Canis lupus familiaris: one gene and its partner. The protein of the gene in region 2 interacts with the protein of the main gene of each other region in a pairwise test. Links are inferred from orthologs where the notes say so. Each region holds a gene or a part of one and is shown on either strand. Other genes may lie near its edges. The genes, in order: GEMIN4 and SPRY1.

Evidence for each region.
Region 1: the proteins of SPRY1 (region 2) and GEMIN4 interact in binary tests that used the Homo sapiens proteins (3 or more experiments, as listed by UniProt). The link is inferred for Canis lupus familiaris from reciprocal best matches to the Homo sapiens genes SPRY1 and GEMIN4.

The regions. Positions count from the first base shown.
Region 1 is NC_049230.1:45,007,842-45,012,426, reverse strand, and holds the start of GEMIN4 (gem-associated protein 4), read right to left. Parts: upstream 2,907-4,585; 5' UTR 2,807-2,906; coding exon 2,797-2,806; intron 2,537-2,796; exon of another isoform or gene 2,427-2,536; intron 2,257-2,426; exon of another isoform or gene 2,144-2,256; intron 321-2,143; coding exon 1-320. Other genes in the region: diazepam-binding inhibitor-like 5, read left to right, coding at 2,907-3,077, 3,689-4,009. UniProt on the Homo sapiens protein: The SMN complex catalyzes the assembly of small nuclear ribonucleoproteins (snRNPs), the building blocks of the spliceosome, and thereby plays an important role in the splicing of cellular pre-mRNAs.
Region 2 is NC_049240.1:17,792,634-17,797,003, reverse strand, and holds the start of SPRY1 (protein sprouty homolog 1), read left to right. Parts: upstream 1-1,344; 5' UTR 1,345-1,511; intron 1,512-3,965; exon of another isoform or gene 3,966-4,235; intron 4,236-4,370. UniProt on the Homo sapiens protein: Inhibits fibroblast growth factor (FGF)-induced retinal lens fiber differentiation, probably by inhibiting FGF-mediated phosphorylation of ERK1/2. Inhibits TGFB-induced epithelial-to-mesenchymal transition in lens epithelial cells.

The DNA of each region.
Region 1 (4,585 bases), on a different chromosome or scaffold from region 2:
CGTGTGATTGATGGTAGGGATCATGTTGCCTACCGAGAAGAACACATCTTCCTGCCACCGAGTGTCAGTGTCTGAAGGGGTGACAGGGTAGGGCTGAAGAACCTTGGCCCAGATGATGATCAGAGCTTTCTTCTTCCAGGCAAAGGGCTGGGAGCATGTTGTGGCGGAGGAGATCTCCCTTAGGGCCTCCACAATGGGCTGCCCAACATGTTCCCAGTCAGACTTTGTCAGTTCTGTCAGTGCTTTGGGGTGGAAGAGCTGCTCGGCAAGCAAAAAGCCCCCATGCAGAATAGTCATTTCTTCACAGATATTCAAAGGTCCTGCACAGAAAGAAGCCGCACAAGACAGTGTGGTGAAAAATCTTTAAAATAGTTAGTAGAGGCTAGACAGAGACATCAGTTGGTAGGCTGGCTGTCATCACCAGGGTTAGAGATGATAAGGGTTCTAATGGGGAAGAAGAGATGGCTCTAGCCACTGTAGAGCTGGAATCAAAAGGACTTACCTAAGGAATATAAAGGACTCTCAAAGTCTAGCCTGGATTTAGAAGACAATGGCTATCACTGGAGGAAGAGAATCAGAACAGCTTTGGGGGGAACACTGTTCAGTTTTGGTTATTTGGAGTTTGAGGTAGAACATTAAGAGAGAGATGTCCTCCAGCAATGGAAATGTGGGGTTGATGCTCAAGAGGAGAGTCAACCCTGAGATGTGACTCAGGGAGGGGTCTGCCTAGAGGGGATCAATGGAACGAACAAAGTGAATGAGATTCTGCAGGAAAACCATGTGTAAAGGAAAGGGCTAGGCGCTCCAGTAACGGATGGGCCAGCAGAGGAGGTGGAGAGGAGGGGTGACAGAGGGTGCGTACTGTGCAACATGGCAGTCAAGCTTCTGAATCATGATTCAGCCTAAGAAGGGAGGGGCCAGGGCTGAGGCCGCAGAAGCAATCAAACAAGCCCTGCCTTCCCCCTTTTGTCTTACAGTCTTCTTACAAATTTCAAATGTTCTGCCTTTCAGGGAAACAGTTTACCCCACAGCTCTTTCTGTCAAATAGAACAAGCTACCAAATGCTCTGGTTCTCTCATAGAAACCAAGAGGTAGACATAAAATATACTTAGTAGATTAGGAAAGAAAAGTCTCTTCTCCAGTAAGCCCTGAATCAACACTTATCAAGGAAGGCATCTGGGGAGGTTTAATTAGACACAGCTTTAAATCCTAGTTCAGCCATCTAGAAGCTAGAGCTTCTCTGAGCTTCCCTTCTGCATCTGTGGGGAGAACACAGACTTCATACTAGACTGGGAGGATCAAGTGCGATATACTAGTCACACCCTGAGTACTGAGCTAGTTGTTCAGTGTTAGCCCCCAATTCCTCGTTCCCTCATGCCCCCAAGTACATATCTTTCCCAGGAGCCAGCAAGAGAGAATCTTGATTTAGGAGACTAAAAATGATCCTGCCCTTCAACTTTAAGAGAGCAGCAAAAGGCCAAAGGATCAGCACTCCTATGCAACCAACTGGTGAAGGCAATCCACCTTGGCTCCTAGTGGCCTAGGCAGACTCCCAGGAAGATTAGATTGCTGACAGGTCTCACTGGGGATTCTGGCTTTTTTTTTTTTTTTCTTTCTTTTTTTTAGTTCAGGCTGCTCTCCTAGGCCCCCAAAATATGTTCTCTTATGACTCTGTAAATTTAATTTTGTTGCACAATCAGCTCAGCTGAGATGTTTGTCCCCCAAAACCTATTATTCCAGAGACAGTATGTTCATTGTGCTACCAGAAGGAGTAAGTCCCAGGAGCTATTGGTGAATAGCTGGGCAAATCCCAAGTGTTTTTATCACAACTGGATAACAGGCTTGTAGGTGCCCACTCCAAAACTTTATTAAGCGCTTACTCCGTGCCAGGCACTGTGCAAGAGCTCTTTTAATCCTCAACCTTTTGAGAACCATTCTGTTTCAGAGATGGGACCACTGAGATTCAGAAAAATTTGCTCAGGATGTCCCAACTATAGTGTAGTTGGGGCCTGGGACGGAAATCACCACAGCTCCAGGGCTCCAAGCTCTTGAGCTCTACTGTTGCACCACTGAAGCCGTGGCTGGGGGCAGGACTACAACATTTCTCCACAGCCTGTTACTGGCACACCTTGGGGTGCCTCACCTCAGCTCTCTGAGAACAGCCTCCTGCATGACCGGCAGGGTGGGAGGCTGGACAGGAGTCACCATATACTAGCTCCCCGCTCCCTTCTCCCAGGCTCTGCCTGTGAGGATTCTGAATCAAACGTGCCCCCTCGGCTCCTCGGCCCTCCCCACAACTGCCGGTCGGCTGAACTAGCTGCGCGCATGGCACCCTACCCGACCCTGTATACACGTGCTCTCAATCAAACGCCCCCAACTGTGTGTGGTGGGTATGCTATCGTCACCCCCGTTTTATCGATGAGGACCTCATGGCAGAGGACGCTTGCCCAAGAGCTCAGCAGCGGTTAACTAAGCGAAACCGTCGGTGTATCCTTCTGAGCCTGCATTTTCCAAAGCACGTGCACGAGCACTGTCCACTCTGAGGAAATCTAACCTCACATCCGCTTGGCCCTTCACGTGGAAAGGCGCCCCGCGGGGGGCAAGCCGCGGGTGGAGGGGCGGCGGCGCCGCGGCAGCGCCGGGCCTCCCGATCCCGGCCGCGGAGGACACCCCCGCCCTCCCGAGCCCTCCCCGACCCGGAGGTCTCCCTTAGCCCGGGCCCGCTCTGCACCGCCCTGGCCGCCTGGTGCGGGACGCAGACCACGAGGGCGGAGGACCGAGAGCGGCGACACCCACCTAGGTCCATGGCGGCGACGCTGCGGGTCGCGCGGGCCGCCCCTCCCCCCGAGGCTCCGAGTGAGACGCAGGCGCCACGACACAATGGGCGGCTCCGGGAGGGCGGGACAATGGGCCGCGCCTCAGCCCCCGCCCACCATCTCGGCTCAGGCTCCGCGCCGCCGTCCGCAGGCCTCCCGCCGCGCCGCGCGCACGCGCAGAGCCCACCAACAGGTCCGCGGCGCCCAAGCAGCCCGGCCCACAGCGCCCCCTACCAGCCGAGGCCTCCGCCAAGCCAGCCGGCAAGTGGACCCGCGCTTCCCTTCGGCCGGGCGCGCCCCGCCCCGCCCCCAAGCCGCGGTCCCCACCTTCCCCTTGGCCCGCGCCGCTGCCCTGCTTCTGCCCCGCCCAGCGCAGCCCTGGGGGATCATCCCCACGGGATCACCCCACTAGCTCCGCCTCGGCTCCGCGTTCGCTTCCATCCAGTAACCCTCGGGATCCCGCGCTTAAGGTTCACCGCACTGAACGCCCGCCCCAGGCCGCCCACTAACTAGCACAGACTGGCGGTTCTGAAAGGCCTCCTCCCGGCACAGCGCAGCGCCCCCCCAGCACACTTCCTTCTCACGGGAGGACAGCATCCTTAATTTTCTGGCATTAAAGGCACCTTTGAAATGTTACTGGTTGCCCTCCCCAGAAAATGCACTTTGCTATCCAGAGCAATAGTGGCGGAGATCCATTCCAGTGGGCCTTAGTTTCCAATCTGTACTTTATAAAAACACATTTGACTCCTGAGAAAACACATACACAAACATCCTATGTTCTTCTCACACATTACCCTGTCTTCTTTGCTCCCATTCCCTTCCTCCCAGACCTAATCACTAGCCTCCAGTGTTTCTAATTCTCCATCCTCCAGCTTCCAGTGCCAGCCATCACCCAGAAAGGACACAAGGGCTGGGCCTCAGCACCCCCAATGTGCCAAGTGGAGTTTGAGATGGCCTGTGCTGCTATCAAGCAGTTGAAGGGACCTGTGAGTGATCAGGAGAAGCTACTGGTGTACAGCTTCTACAAACAGGCCACCCAAGGCGACTGCAACATCCCTGCCCCACCTGCTACAGATGTGAAAGCCAAGGCCAAGTGGGAGGCATGGAACCAGAATAAAGGGATGTCCAAGATGGATGCCATGAGGATCTATGTTGCCAAGGTGGAAGAACTGAAGAAAAAAGATACTGGTTAAGGAGGACAGAATATCAAACACAATGAAGTAGCATGGCTCCTCTGGTAGCGAAAAGGGTTTCTTAAAAGACCAACGGCTGAAACGTCCTGAAACCATAACCACCATAGCCGAGACACATCAATAAATCACTTAAACTGCAAGAGAGTGTTAATGGAAAGCTGATTAAACTCCAAGTGACAGAGTTCTGGGGAGGTGTTCAAAATATATAAAAAAGCAGTTCTCCAGGGAAATTCCATCACAACCGGTTTTATGATCCTAAGAGTTCCCAGCTTTCCTATTCCAAGAGTATATGCAGATACTTGGCAGGAGTAGAAGGGCTGGGGGGAAGATCATGCTATGAAAACGCCCAAGTTTTGAGGTCAACAGATCGTTCCCCAGAGGCTTGGCCTTTGGGGAAAGGGGAAAGAAGAGGCTGAGGCCCCTTATCTTCAGGGATTGTCTATTCACTACTAACCCAACATTACTGAGGGGAAAGGGGCTTTGTCTTTCAAAAAGCTAAAGTCAAGTCCTACCAAAAGCCCCTACTAGAACATAGTTCTGATGAAGTTAATATTTTGAGGGAAGTCAAACTTTTAG
Region 2 (4,370 bases):
TATCTACAAAATTGATTTTATCCTTTTACCCTATTTTTTGGGTTTATAGTAAGAGTGAATATGTAGCCTTTTGGCCTCATTCTTTTTTTTTTTTTTTTTTTTTTTTTTTTTGCTTCATTCTTGTTTTATGTTATTTTCTAGGGATGCTTTCTTCTTGTTGATGGTCTTAGCAATGCCCTAGCTTCCAAAAGAGGTTAATCCAAATACAACTTTAATGTTTTAAAGTGCTCAAACATTGAAAGTCTAGAAAACACTAGTTTCAACAGAATCATTTGTTATAGTAAAGAAGGAGCTTAAGCATTGAAAATTCCCATACCTAAATTTATACATGGTTTAGATTCTGGAGTTTTGTTTTGTTTGCCTTATTTTGTCAAAGACTAAGCTACTTATATCTAGTACCTGGAAAAAATACTTCTCTACTTACTATATATATTTTTGCTTTTTAGGTATTTTTTAAAAGGCTCTGTGGAGCCTTAACTTTCACATATAGTTCTCCTCACTGCAGCATAAAGTACACAATTTTTATAATAAATGTCTAAAATCCCATAATTTGTAAGAAAACAAAAGGTGAGTTTCCTACTGATTAAAATACTTTTTCCCCCCAGTAACACAACACATATCATTAAGAATTATAAAACTTCTTGGTAAATTATTTCTATTTTAATTGATTTCCAGTTGGCTGATTTTTAAAAATAAATGAGTTGGTTGCAGGTTTTTTTTTTTTTTTCCAAAATTATGGAAATCAATTACAAAATTGAAGGAAGTTGGGATTTTTAAATTCGATTTTTAGGAAATTATATCACAAGACAAGGTAGAGCACTTACTATAAAATCTACAGCAGGAAATTTCACCTTTATGAGGTAACGTTATATACATTTGCAGTAAGGAGTGTCGCCTTTTGAACTTTCACATTTCACACATTCTGAATTTGGCTTTAAATAGTAACTGTAACGTTACATTATCATCTTCTTAATATCAATATACATTTTCTCTCTAGCTGATCAGAAGTGTTGGCTTGGCATACGACTTTTTTTTTATCTTCTTTTATTCCTCAAAACTATTTTCTAATTCAACCTTAAAGACAGTGTCCGCCAATCCTTTGACTGAGACTGATGACGAAATTTAAAGGGTTCTTCTGTGACAAACTGCACTTGTAGGGTCTTTAGAGGCCATCTCCAATTTTTAGAGGATGTTTATCACCCACGAGTGTACAGGGCAACATTTCCAAGTTGGTACAGATGCACGAGAGAGGAAACGACAGTTGGAGAAATCCTGTTCCAGGTTTTCAGGCAGCCCGAATGATTGACATATGATATCACTGGAGGCGTGTCCTGGAGTGGAGGTGGAGGTGGAGGCGAGCTGAAATTCTGCGGAGCTGGAGTGGGATTGCTCTGTAAGGCACGCAGTGGTTTGCAGAGTGATAGCAACAGACAGAGCTCCTTACCCTGGATAAGGAACAGCTACAGTCGCTGTAAATGTGCCTGAAAAGCAATTTCCAATCTTTGCGTTAGGTAAGAACTGTTTCCTTCCTTTCATTCCGTAGGTATTTTAGGAAAGCTTAGGTGAGAAATGCTGGCTTTTGCAAGGAACTGAACATTTCTTTGAACTCGCTTTAGATCTAAGATTACTGGTTGCATTTCAAATTACCAGTAGCATTCCCAGTGCTAAAACGAATGCTCTTTAAAAAAGTAAACGCTACCGCTAAGAGGAAAAAGTAGGATCCTTTTCTTTTCTTTTCTTTTTCTTTTTTTTTTCCTTATCCGAACAAGTCTGAAGTCTGAAACGGTCGGTTGTGTGAAAAACAGGGTGGTTTTTGCCGAAGAGGGGCTGGCACTCGGTGTGTGGACCAGTACATGTTGGTTTAGGCATTGTTGGCGACCGAATCCCGAGCGGAGCGATTGTTTAAAACCTGAATTTCCCGTCCCCTGTGTATTGATTTCCAATGCGCAGAGGCGTTGCTTGAACGTTGTTTGAACTCCTGGCATTCCAAGGGGCAAAAGCACTTCGGCAAAACGTGCAAGACTGCATGTTACTTTGGTTCGCTGCTGACACGCCGACTGTGCGCCGGCCTGTCAATCACTGCGAGCAGCAACAGCCAGCACATGGCAGCGGGGCTGCGGGCGGCGGGCGGCGGGCGGCGGGCGGCGGGCGGGCGGGCGGGCGAGCTGGCGGGCAGCCCACCCCGCTCCCCGCTCCCCGCTCCCCGCTCCCCGCCGCCCGCGCGGCGCGTCCCGCTGCCTGCAAAGAAAGGGAAATTAATGTGCTGTTGTGTTTTGTTTTCCAATCGCCGATCCTCGGGAGCAGGCGTTCCGGCCGTGGAACCGGAGGGTCGGAGGACTGGGAGCGCGCGCTGCCCGGGAGAGGCGGACCCGCCAGGACCAGAGTCCCGGGGGCCGCTGTGCCCCCCACTTGCCCAGCGCGCGGGATCGGGAAAGTGCCTCGACCTGCGCGGGGGGGGGGGGGGGGTGCACGAAAGACGACGCCCCGCCTCTTCCCTTGGGAGGAATCCCCCCCAACCTCGCACCCTTCACCGCCACCCCTAAAACAGCGGGGCTAAAAAGCAAGACAAAACAAAACAAAAAAACCCAGAATATCCCCCGCACCCCGCCCCCGGGGGAGCCGCAGCCCCAGCCTCGCGGGCGTGCGCTCCCGGGCCGCGCCGGGGCCTGCTTGGTTCCGCGAGGCGCCCGGAGACGCCGGTTCGAGCCCCGTCCCCGGCGCCGCGGAGTCTCGAACGCCCGTGACGTGGGCTTTTCAGTCGTCGGGGGGCCGCCTCCTTCCTCGGCCGCGGGGAGCGCTCGGACCCGAGGGAGGACTGTCGCAGAGCACCGCGTGCCCCGGGGGCCCGGCCCGCGCGCTGGTCTCTGCCGTTTTCTGAGACTCGAGAGCCCTCTCGCAGGGGACCTTTTTTCCCCTTCCTGTTCTTTCTCTCCCCCCCCGGCTCGCGGGAAGGGGCTGCGGGAGAAGCCCGAGGTGGATGCGCCCGCGCCGCGCGGCGGGAGGGGGGTCCGCAGGAGTGTCCCCCGCAGCCGGGAGGGGGGTTGGCCCGGCCTCGCGTCCTCCCCGCCGCGCCTGATGCGGGTCGCGCCGCTCCGGCCGAGGTGAGTGTCCCGCGGCCTCCGGGCGCCGGCGGGGGGCGGGGGCGGGGGCGGGCGCGGGCGCCGCGCGGCAGGTGCGGGCCCCGGGGCTCGCGGCCCGTCCCCTTGAAGGGACGCCTCCGCGCCCAAGCGGGACTCGGGGCGCCTCGGGGGGTGTTGCCTCCGAGGAGCTGCCTCGCGCCGGCGGCGGGCTCCCGGGCGGGCTGTGGGCGCGGACGCGGCGGGGGGGGCGGGGGCAGGCGGGGAGCCCCGGAGCCCCCCCGCCGTCCGCGCTGACCCCTGCACAGAACCAGGCTGCGCCCGAGCCCGCCGCGCCTTCCTCCGCGTTTGGCGGGGCGAGGGGAGGGGAGGGGAGGGGAGGGGAGGGCGCTGCCGCTTTAAAAACGGGAAGTCCGCCCTCCTGAGGTAATGGTAACCTCAGCCTCCTCCCCTCCTCCTGCCCTGCCCGGAGAGAGGGAGCGAGCGAGAACTTGTTTTCATTCATAACTTTTTCCTTTTCCTTCCTCTCCGTCAACTATTTATTCGCCGCTCCCCTGCGCTCGGGTGCAGAGGGCGCAGCTCCGCCGCGGCAGCTGGCGGCGCCGCAGCACAGGGGAGCCTGCCCGCTCCTCCACGGGCGAGCTCGGCGCCCGCGCAGCCCCGGGGGCCCGCCACGCTCCGGAGGAGGCCTTGGGCGGCGCGCGCGCCGGGGCGGGCTGGAAGCGCCCGGGGCTCCCGGGAGGGCGCAGCCGCGAAGGTAGCGGCCGCCGAGGCCCGTCCCCGCGGGCGGCGCAGGTTGCCGGGGACGCACCGGGCGCCGGCGCCGCGGGGCACGGGCCGCCCCGCCTCACACCCGACGCGCCGCGCGGTCTCCCTGGCCGGGGGCCTCCACGGACTCGGGTACCACGATCGCGTGAAGCGCAGCGTCCAGGATGCGCCCGGCGCCCTCGCCCCGCTCCCCGTAGGCTCCGTGCTCCTGGGCGTGTGGGATCTGCCCGCGTGCCTCGGGATGCTCCGCCCCGCGAGCGCCCGGCTGCGAGCGCTTTGCAAGGAGGGATGAGGTCTGCGTGTGCCGAGGCTCGGGCTGTGCTCGCAGCCCCGGATTGCGGCGCTAGACCCGGCCGGTCGGCAGGGCGGTCCTGCTCTAGCTCGGAGAAGGTACAGTGGGACCCGGGGCGGGGGCGGGGGTCTCGGCTGCGAGGACGAGGGTCGGGACTCCGGGACGTCAACGTGCAAGGCTGGATCTGTCGGCTTTCAGCCCAGTTAATGCTGGAACGGACGTCTCGCAGCCTT